2 linked regions of the Macaca mulatta genome follow. The protein of the gene in region 2 purifies or fractionates together with the protein of the main gene of each other region. This does not show direct contact. Links are inferred from orthologs where the notes say so. Each region holds a gene or a part of one and is shown on either strand. Other genes may lie near its edges.

The links.
Region 1: the proteins of DDX39B (region 2) and MYO1C purify together in Homo sapiens (affinity purification with mass spectrometry; 5 studies listed by BioGRID and IntAct, with this or other methods). This does not show direct contact. The link is inferred for Macaca mulatta from reciprocal best matches to the Homo sapiens genes DDX39B and MYO1C.

What each region holds. Positions count from the first base shown.
Region 1 is NC_133421.1:3,034,380-3,039,414, reverse strand, and holds part of MYO1C (unconventional myosin-Ic), read left to right. Parts: intron 1-222; exon of another isoform or gene 223-347; intron 348-1,156; exon of another isoform or gene 1,157-1,490; intron 1,491-1,636; exon of another isoform or gene 1,637-1,839; coding exon of another isoform or gene 1,840-1,857; intron 1,858-3,279; coding exon 3,280-3,435; intron 3,436-3,854; coding exon 3,855-3,970; intron 3,971-4,851; coding exon 4,852-5,035.
Region 2 is NC_133409.1:150,796,422-150,801,456, forward strand, and holds the end of DDX39B (spliceosome RNA helicase DDX39B), read left to right. Parts: intron 1-1,660; coding exon 1,661-1,792; intron 1,793-3,160; coding exon 3,161-3,270; intron 3,271-3,366; coding exon 3,367-3,511; intron 3,512-3,637; coding exon 3,638-3,785; intron 3,786-4,112; coding exon 4,113-4,129; downstream 4,130-5,035. Other genes in the region: MCCD1 (mitochondrial coiled-coil domain protein 1 precursor), read right to left, coding at 4,628-4,816. UniProt on the Homo sapiens protein: Involved in nuclear export of spliced and unspliced mRNA. Component of the TREX complex which is thought to couple mRNA transcription, processing and nuclear export, and specifically associates with spliced mRNA and not with unspliced pre-mRNA.

The sequences.
Region 1 (5,035 bases), on a different chromosome or scaffold from region 2:
ATTTCCCCTTCCCCGCTCCCCTGCCCCCACCAGCTGGCGCCCCCGCTTGGGGGTCCCCGGGGCCGCCGCTCCGGCCGGGCTGTTGTTGCAGTAACTAGCATTCCCCGCGAGGATCCAGCCCGCACCTGCCGCAGCCTCGCCCTCTCCCCAGGGAGCGGCGTCCGCGAGCTGGGGGTGGGGCGCTGGGGCTTTGGGTCCCGGCTCTGCCCACCCCCCCAGGGCGAGTCTGTGTCTGCCGTTGCGTTGGTAGGACAGGCAGGTGCCTGTAGACGCGCCTGAGGCTCTCCTCACCGGATCGGAAGCGTGGCCCAGGGCCTGACTCTCAGTAGGCCTCTGCCCGCAAGCAAGTGAGGAATGAGCGTCCGGCGGAGGGAAGGCGGTGGGTGTGGGAAGCGGGGTCTAGAGCGGTCTGGGAGATGCCTTCGCGCTCTATCTCAGGCCACCCAACGGCCCTTCTAGGCCTGTGTTAACCTCATGTTGGGGATGAGGAACAGAAGCCGAAACGTTAAGTGACTAGCTCAGAGTCCCACCGCGAGGAAGCACCAGCTTTTGCTGGCTCTAGACGTCTCCGCCCCTGCCCGCGGTGGGATCTGAGCCAAGGTTTGCCCCAGGCGAGGGAGTGTGGTGCCCGCAGAGCCCAGCGAGGGCGGGGCTGCCAAGGCCGGTTCGGAGTTGGGGGGCGTCCCGGAGATCCGGAGAGACGAGAGAGGTCCCCTTCAAAGCAGGGAGGGAGATGGGCCGAGCGCGGTGGCTCACGCCTGTCATCCCAGCACTTTGGGAGGCCGAGGCGGGTGGATCACCTGAGGTCAGGAGTTCGAGACCAGCCTGGCCAACATGATGAAACCCCGTGTCTACCAAAAATACAAAAATTAGCCGAGTGTGGTGGCGGGTGCCTGTAATCCCAGCTACTCGGGAGGCTGAGGCAGGAGAATCGCTAAACCCGGGAGGCGTAGGTTGCAGTGAGCCGAGATCGCGCCACTGAACTCCAACGTGGGAGCTAGCGCGACTCTGTCTCAAAAAAAAAAAGAAAAAAAAGGAGAGGGAGGAGGCCCGGGCCCAGAGGCGAGTGGGGTGCCTCGGGTGGGGAGAGGCTGTGGGCCCCAAATGCCGTGGGCGGGGATACGCGAATTTCCCAGAGGGGGGAACTGAGCCCTCCAGAGGTGCCGAGGACTCCGCGCGCTCAGCCAGGGCACCCGGTGGCCGTCCCTGTCCCTGGGGCACGCGCTCCGTGCTGACGAGGAAAACCAAGATCTTCCTGGGTTCGAGGCTCCGGCCAGGCCCCGGCGCGTGTGGGTGGACGGCGTCCCGCACGGAGAACGCTCCGCCCGCCAGGCGCGCCGGCCGTATTTGGACATTGGTTCTATTTTTAACTTTCCCGGGACTCGAGTTCGGGGGTTGGGGGAGGGAAATCCCGCTTCCTCTGGGACCCGCAGGCCTCGGTGCCCGCCCAGAACCCGAGCCCGCCGCGGAGTGTCGTCCCAGGCCCGGAAGTGAGTTCCGGGTCGGTGTAGACGCGGCGGCCGCGCGGGTTCCGGGCTCCACCCTGGAACCAACGGCGTCCCTCCTGGAAAACCTGACTCAGGCGGAGCCCGCCCCGCCCGCCCCCGGCCCCGCCCGCGGACCCCCCCCCGACACCCCCACCTCCACCAACCCCACCTGGCGGGGACCCCAGCCCGGCCGCGCGGGAGGCGAGGGAGGCCGGGGAAGCCCCGCGCTTCAGGGGCCCTGGTGGGGGCGGTGCGGGGGGCGGGCCCTCCCTCGCTGACGCCGCCGCCGCCGCCGCCGAGCCCGGGACCCAGAGCGCGGGCAGCAGAGCGGGCGCCAGGCCGGCGGGGCAGGATGCGCTACCGGGCGTCGGTGAGCCGGGGGGCGGCAGGGCAGGGCGGGGCGGAGGGTCCCGGGCGCCCCTCCCCGCCTCGCGGCGTCGCCTCGGCCTCGCCAGGAAGCGGGCGCGGCCCAGGAATTCCGTGTGGAAAAACGTCCCGGGAAGTTGCAGGGGGAGGAGGCCGAGGCGGGGAGGGCCGCGCGGGACGCTCGGACCCGGGGGGCCGGACGAGGAGCTGCCGGGGACGCCTGAGAACTCGGAGACCCCTGACCCGAGGGCGAGGGGGCGGGGACCGCGGCCGGATTTGGCAGCCGCTTGGGCGCGGGATTGGAGCGGGGCGGGGAGGACAAGCCTGGGAGGGGCAGGCCCCCGGCCCGGCCCGGAGTGACGCCCCAGGCCAGGAATCTGGGCCTTTTGTGGTCAGAGGACACCCGGCGGCCCCTTTGGGATCCACCCCCAGTCACCACCACCTTGTTCTTCTCTGACCCTGGATACTCTGGGTGTCCGTTTTCTGGAGCCCTGAGACCCTGTTTGGAGGGGGATCCATCTCAGCCCTGGTTGTGGGGTGAGGGTCTTGCTGAGCCCTCCAGTGGGACCCAGAGGCAGCTGGGCTTTCCATGGTAAACCCCCCATCCCCTGAGGCTTCTCAGGACTCAGTGGAGGAGGCGCCTGGGGAGTTCGGCAGCTGGAGGAAAGGGAGTGGCCCCAGCCATGCGAGGGAGTCCCCCCCTTCTGGAGTGGGTGGCTGAGCCCAGCTGGGGTGGGAGGCCCTCCGGGGGAACCCCTCTGGTGTAGTCTGGGAGTAACCTCTTCCTTGGTGCGAGACGCTCTACCTGTGGAGATGTGGGTGGGTCCCGATGGGAGAGACGGCCCCACTCTGCCTGCAGAATTGACCCTGAGCCATTTGTCCTCCAAAGCACCTGTCACACGTGGCTCAGAGCTAAGGGACCTGAGGTCACCTGGTCTAACTCCTCCTCCTTGAGGAGGAAGCAGCCCAGAGAGAGGAGGGGCTTGGTCCAAGCTCCACAGAGCAGTCTTTCTGCTATTTCAAGGAGTTCCTTCTTGTGACCCGCTCCTTTCTCCACCCAAAACCGGCACCTCCCAGATTCTGCCCTCTGGTCCTGCGTGCGTCCGTGCCCTGTGTACACACCGGGACCCAAGTGCTTCATGTGGTCTCTGTTCTGTGCCCGCAGCCTCGGTGATCCCTGTGCTGCGACACCCAGACCCAGGCCCTCCACACCCGGCTTTCTGCACCCTGCCCACCACACCCAGACCCTCCAAACCCAGGCCCTCCACACCCAGGCCTTCCGCACCCATCAGGCTCATGTCCCATGTCCAGCCCTGAGTCCACAAGCCCCTGCGTTCCCTCTCAGTCCCACAGGCACAGTGGAGGAGAAGTGGCCTTGCCTGGTCCCCCATGACTCTGACCCTCTTCTGTGGCCCATTCTCTGCAGGCCCTGGGCAGTGACGGGGTTCGGGTGACCATGGAGAGTGCGCTGACTGCCCGTGACCGGGTGGGGGTGCAGGATTTCGTGCTGCTGGAGAACTTCACCAGCGAGGCCGCCTTTATCGAGAACCTGCGGCGGCGGTTTCGGGAGAACCTCATCTATGTGAGGCCCTTGTGGGGAGATGGCAGGGGTGCTGGGGTCACAGACACAGGGCAGAGGGGAAGGAGACACCAGGGGTCACCAGGATAAACTTGTTTTTGTTGTTTGAGACGGAGTTTCACTCTTGTTGCCCAGGCTGGAGTGCAGTGGCGCAATCTTGGCTCACTGCAACCTCCTCCTCCCCGGTTCAAGCAATTCTGCCTCAGCCTCCCGAGTAGCTGGGACTACAGGCATGTGCCACCATGCCCGGCTAATTTTGTATTTTTAGTAGAGATGGGGTTTCCCCATATTGGTCAGGCTGGTCTCGAACTCCCAACCTCAGGTGACCCGCCTGCCTCGGCCTCCCAAAGTGCTGGGATTACAGGCGTGAGCCATCGCACCTGGCCCGGGATCAACTTTTGACCCTCTTCCCCCAACCCCAGACCTACATTGGCCCCGTCCTGGTCTCTGTCAACCCCTACCGGGACCTGCAGATCTACAGCCGGCAGCACATGGAGCGTTACCGTGGCGTCAGCTTCTATGAAGTGCCCCCTCATCTGTGAGTGACCCCAGCCCCTCTGGGAGCGACCCCTCTGTCTCCATCTGAAGTGACCCCACCCAACCCTTACTCTAAAATGATCCTGGCCGGGCGCGGTGGCTCAAGCCTGTAATCCCAGCACTTTGGGAGGCCGAGGCGGGTGGATCACGAGGTCAGGAGATCGAGACTATCCTGGCTAACATGGTGAAACCCCGTCTCTACTAAAAATACAAAAAACTAGCCGGGCGTGGTGGCGGGCGCCTGTAGTCTCAGCTACTTGGGAGGCTGAGGCGGGAGAATGGCGTGAACCCGGGAGGCGGAGCTTGCAGTGAGCCGAGATCACATGCCACTGCACTCCAGCCTGGGCGACAGAGCGAGACTCCGTCTCAAAAAAAAATAAATAAAATAAAAATAAAATGATCCTGACCTCCTGCGCCACAGCTGTGAGGAATCCCACAGTTTCTCACCCCCGGGTGACCAGAGATGAGTGTCACAACTCAACTCCATCTGGGTGGGACTCAGTCCATACCCCACCTCACACCCATGACTTGTTCCCCAACTGGGAGTGGCCCCCCAATCTTAGTGACTTCTGAACCCCACCTGCGAAGACCCCCCCAACCCTACCTATGAGTGACTCCAGCCTCCACCTAAGTGACCTCCAGACTCCCACCTGTGAGATCATCTCAGTCTTCCCACTGGCAGTGACGCCCATTCTCAGCTCTGACAGATCTCCCATGGCCCACACCTGCGAGGGACCCCCAGTCCCCATCCTCAATACATCCTCAAGGGTGTATTAGACTTCCACTCACGAGAGGACGCCACCCAGACGTGGGAGCGGGACTCCCTGTGGGGCTCCGCTTGGCCCCCCCCCCCCCGAACTCCCTGACGAGCCTCTGCCCCAGGTTTGCCGTGGCCGACACTGTATACCGAGCACTGCGTACAGAGCGTCGGGACCAGGCAGTGATGATCTCTGGGGAGAGTGGGGCAGGCAAGACTGAGGCCACCAAGAGGCTGCTACAGTTCTATGCAGAGACCTGCCCAGCCCCCGAGCGCGGAGGTGCTGTTCGAGACCGGCTGCTGCAGAGC
Region 2 (5,035 bases):
ATGTGTTGGGGAGGGGTGTCCTCAATGGGGTGGTAGATTTTTTTTTTTTTTCCTTAAAAAATTTTTTTGTTTTTTTTAATACTCAGAGGAGAGGGACATAGGAAAGGTAAAGTGGATGTAATCGGGTGGGTGTTAGGGTTTGGGGCTAGGTGGGGCCAATTGCATAAGCAGTGGAGTGTGTTCTCCCTGCAGTGTTCCTTCCCGTGGGATGATAACTCTTTAGCTTTATTTGGGGCTAGAATGAGATTTGAAGAAGGCCATGGAACTTCTCTTTAGAAAGCCTGCCTTGGCTGGGCCTGGTGGCTCACCTCTAATCCCAGTGCTTTGGGAGGCCAAGATGGGAGGATTGCTTGAGCCCAAGAATTTGAGACTAGCCTGGGCAGTGTAGTAAGACTTTGTCTCTACCAGAAAAACCAGGCGTGGTGGCGCATGCCTGTAGTCCCAGCTACTTGGGAGGCTAAGGCAGGAGGGTTTGCTTGAGCTTGGGACACGGAGGCGGCAGTAAGCTGTAATTGTGCCACTGTACTCCAGCCTGGGTGATAGAGTAAGACCCTGTATCAAAACCTGCCTTTTGGGATTGGGCTTCTGTTTTTTCCCATGACATACCCATCCTTTCCTATTTTGTCCTCTGGGTCTTAATATTAACTATCTTCCCCCAGAGAAGTACAAAAGTGTTAGGAAAGTTGTATTTTGGAGTTGTGGTAATTTCTGTCTTTGTTACTCTCCTCCCCTTCAGGGGGTTTTTAAATTTTAAAGATGAATGCAGTGAGGTATAATGGTGTGTGCCTGTAGTCCCAGCTATTCGGGAGACTGAAGCAGGAGGATCACTTGAGCCCAGGAATTTGAGGCTATAATGTGCTATGATTGTGCCAGTGAATAGCCACTGCACTCCAGCCTGGGCAACATGGTGAGATCCTGTCCCTTAAAAGCATATCTGCCTGCTCTGAATTTGGTTTTTTAATACCACTTACTGATACCTTCCCTGTAAACCTGTAGATGGTTTAATTCTTAGTGAAGAGACCAGTCTCATCTAAAATTATCCTGTTGTGGTCTGACGGCAAGTTACTTATCTTGAGTAATTTTTGTTTCTCCTTAAGTGGCATTTTGACTGTCCATTGCAGTGTTCTGATCTTAAAATTGACATCCACTTTCCTAATGTATATGAGATTCTCTTAGTTGAAGTAGGAGAATCAAATGGAGCAGTTGTCCTGCCCCCACCCCATGTTCTTACAAGCAGCTGTGATGGAGTTATTCTGACCTTGAGTCACTGCCTCCCATCATTTCCCAGACGTTTGGGCCTTGCTCTCCCTTTGAGAATCATCTTCCACATTTTTTCTTTCTTCTCCCACCTCTATTTGAGGTAGTGGCATCTGTGCCATTGGGTGGTTTCACTGCTCCTTTACTTCATTTGCAGTTTCTTTCCCATGATAGTTTTTAGTTGGGCAGTCTTAAAACCCCTCTGATAGGAAGGAAATTAGATGTAATGTGAGAGAGACCACAGTAAAATATGGGTAGTTTTGGGAGTGGGGTGGGGTTTTCAATCTTCTCTTTCCTCCCCATCCCCCCATGGGGTGTATTGGAGATCAGCTTCCTCCACCCCCCCAGGTTTAACCCCCCCACTCTGCCCTCCTCCCGTTCCCCACCCCTTCCTCCCCCCCAGCCAATGGAGATCTTCGTGGATGATGAGACGAAGTTGACGCTGCATGGGTTGCAGCAGTACTACGTGAAACTGAAGGACAACGAGAAGAACCGGAAGCTCTTTGACCTTCTGGATGTCCTTGAGTTCAACCAGGTCAGTTACACGTCCAGTAGGGGGATGAGCATTGGAGCACTCCAGCTGTAGCAGAAACCTGGATATTAAGTACACTTTTATTGAGGAAATCACATGTGTGATGTGGGAGAGAATTATGAGGGTGTAAACATTAGGGGCTGAGCATGAGTAAGGTGGAAGCTGCTTTTCTATTCTGTGGTTGGCATGGATATGTATGTCCTCAATAACCTCAAGGAAAATAAACTTCAAAAGTTAAGATCCTTGGCCAGGTACGGTGGCTTATGTGTGTACTCCCAGCACTTTGGGAGACTGAGGCAGGTGGATCACTTGAGTCTAGGACTTTGAGACCAGTCTGGGCAACATGGCGAAACTTCACTACCAAAGAAGAAAAAGTTAGCCAGGTGTGGTGGTGTATGCCTGTAGTCCCAGATACTCTGGTGGCTGAGGTGGGAGGATAGCTTGAGCCCAGGAGATTGAGGCTGCAGTGAACTATGATTGCACTACTGTGCTCCAGCTTGGGCAGTGGAGTGAGACCTTGTCTCCAAAAGTCCTTGAAAGGTTTTAGGAAGTTGTTAAAGGCTTGAAATGATTTTGGGGGGCAAGTTAGGGTTCTTACATGTTTAATTCCTCTAATAACTGCTTATTCAAGAGAAGCATTTGTGACTGGGTGCAGGGCAGTGGCTCATGCCCATAAATCCCAGTACTTTGGGAGGCTGAGGCAGGAACATCGCTTGAGCCCAGAACTTCAAGACCAGCATGGGTAACAGAGAGAGGCCCATCTCTACAAATAGTAAAAAAAAAAAGAAAGGAGTTGGGTGTGGTGGTGTGCACCTGTGGTCCCAGCTACTTGGGATGCTGAGGTGGAAGGATCTCTTGAGCCCAGGAGGTGTAGGCTGCAGTGACCCACGATTGCACCACTGCACTCCAGTCTGGGGGACAGTGACCCCATGTCAAAAAAGTGTTTCATTAATATACTTGTGAGTGGCCTATTTGCACTTAAAACTACTTTATAGAATTAGGATAGCTCCCTTAGGTTTAATGTTTTGGTGAGCAGGAATATCAGTTACCCCCCCAGATCTTAATTCTAGTTTTTTATCACTTTTTCATGAGGTGATCTCATCCTTGTCTCCTACCATGTCTGGCAGTTTTGGTTTCTGAACTTTGTGCTACCTCAGAGGCCAGCCTCCCTAGGGAAAAATCAGTGCTAAAATAAAGTTATATTTCCTCTTCTGCTCTAAATATATAATGGGGGAATAAGAGAGATGAAGAGGAATTCCTGAGAACGTAATTACTAGAAACTCCTCTCTCCCATGTAATGTCTCACACACACTATGGACTCCTATTCCCCCAATTCGCGACCCCCCCACCTCCCACCCCACCCCACAACAGGTGGTGATCTTTGTGAAGTCTGTGCAGCGGTGCATTGCCTTGGCCCAGCTACTGGTGGAGCAGAACTTTCCAGCCATTGCCATCCACCGTGGGATGCCCCAGGAGGAGAGGTGAGTTGAAGATGGGAAAGATATTTTGTGTCTTTGGGAGAAAGACAGTTGAGAGAAGGGCATCTCAACATTTTTAAAATTTCCTTTCTCACAAAGGCTTTCTCGGTATCAGCAGTTTAAAGATTTTCAACGACGAATTCTTGTGGCTACCAACCTATTTGGCCGAGGCATGGACATCGAGCGGGTGAACATTGCTTTTAATTATGACATGCCTGAGGATTCTGACACCTACCTACATCGGGTAAACCCCACAGGCTGAAGAAATCCCACTCTCCCATTCCCTTCTTTTCTATTTGTACATCTTCATCCCTGCCTCTGGATCTCTTTCCTCTTTGATCTTCCAGTGCTACCCTCTGTCTCCTTCCAGGTGGCCAGAGCAGGCCGGTTTGGCACCAAGGGCTTGGCTATCACATTTGTGTCCGATGAGAATGATGCCAAGATCCTCAATGATGTGCAGGATCGCTTTGAGGTCAATATTAGTGAGCTGCCTGATGAGATAGACATCTCCTCCTACAGTGAGTACTGATCTCATGAAACCCTTTAGGTCCTCCCTGTTCCTTAGTGTGTTTGTCCTAAATCCCATCACTTAGATCATTGGCACCTGATGCATAATGGACACTTGGCTGGTTCATGCCCCCTGATCTTTGATGCTGTGTTGGGATGCTTTCCTGACCTTTATGTGGGGTCTCTGTCTTCTCTCATCGTATTACATCCCTTCCCTCACCCCCACATCTGTTCTCTGAACCCACATAGTACACCAGCATCTGCATGTGCGCTGTGTGTTCCTGCCTTGCTTTCCCCTTTTCATGCCTTATTCTGACCATGCTATGTTTTCTCCTTAGTTGAACAGACACGGTAGAAGACTCGCCCATTCTGGAATGTGACCGTCTGTCCTTCAGGAGAGGACACCAGGGTGGGGGTGAAGGAGACACTACTGCCCCCACCCCTGACAGCCCCCACCCCATGGCTTCCATCTTTTGCATCACCACCACTCCTGAACCCCCATTTCTGATTTGTCAGAATTTTTTTTAACAAAACTAAAAATGAAACACATGTGTCTGTGGTATCTATAAGTGCTTCGTCCCTTTATTGTATTTGGGGTGAGGTATTTTAGGGCATGGTCCAGCGTAAATTCCTGTAAGGCCTGGGTGCCCTGCCTGCTGTGAGATTAAAGGGGAATGGGACTAAGACTGCAGAGCCCTGGCTCCCCCACTACCTGCCAATTGCCCGCGATTTGTGGGGGTCTCTTCCACTTTCTCTGGTCTGGGAGCGGCTGGGGTGTCTCTGATCCCAAGGCCGCTGGTGGGTGGCACATGGATTTTCAGTGCCAGAGGGTGCTGTGGGCACTAGGGGAAGCTTAGGCGCCTCCTCCCAGGCTCTCTCGGTGCCTCCTCATCTGTTCCTTCAGCTTCTGGATCTTGAGCACCAGGGCTTGGGCCTCCCAGGCTCCCTCCTGTCCTTCCAGGAGGGCCTGGTATAGCTCCAGCTGCTGTTCCAGCAACTCTTCAGCTTGGGCCAGCTCAGCTGTGCGGTGGATCCCGGGGCCCTGGTGAGGGAATTAGGGGAGGGAGCATCAGCCAGGGCAGGGGGCCGAGGCCCTGGGAAACTGTTGCAGGCTCTGGGCTGGAAGTGAGAAATTCCACCTTCCCTATCTGGTTTTGACCCAGTCCTTTAAGGACACCTGTATTGAGAAGCCCAGGTAGCTCCCTGTCTTGGGCATAGGCCTTTGGTGGGGGGGGTGCAGATAGAGTTCCCTGGCCCAGGG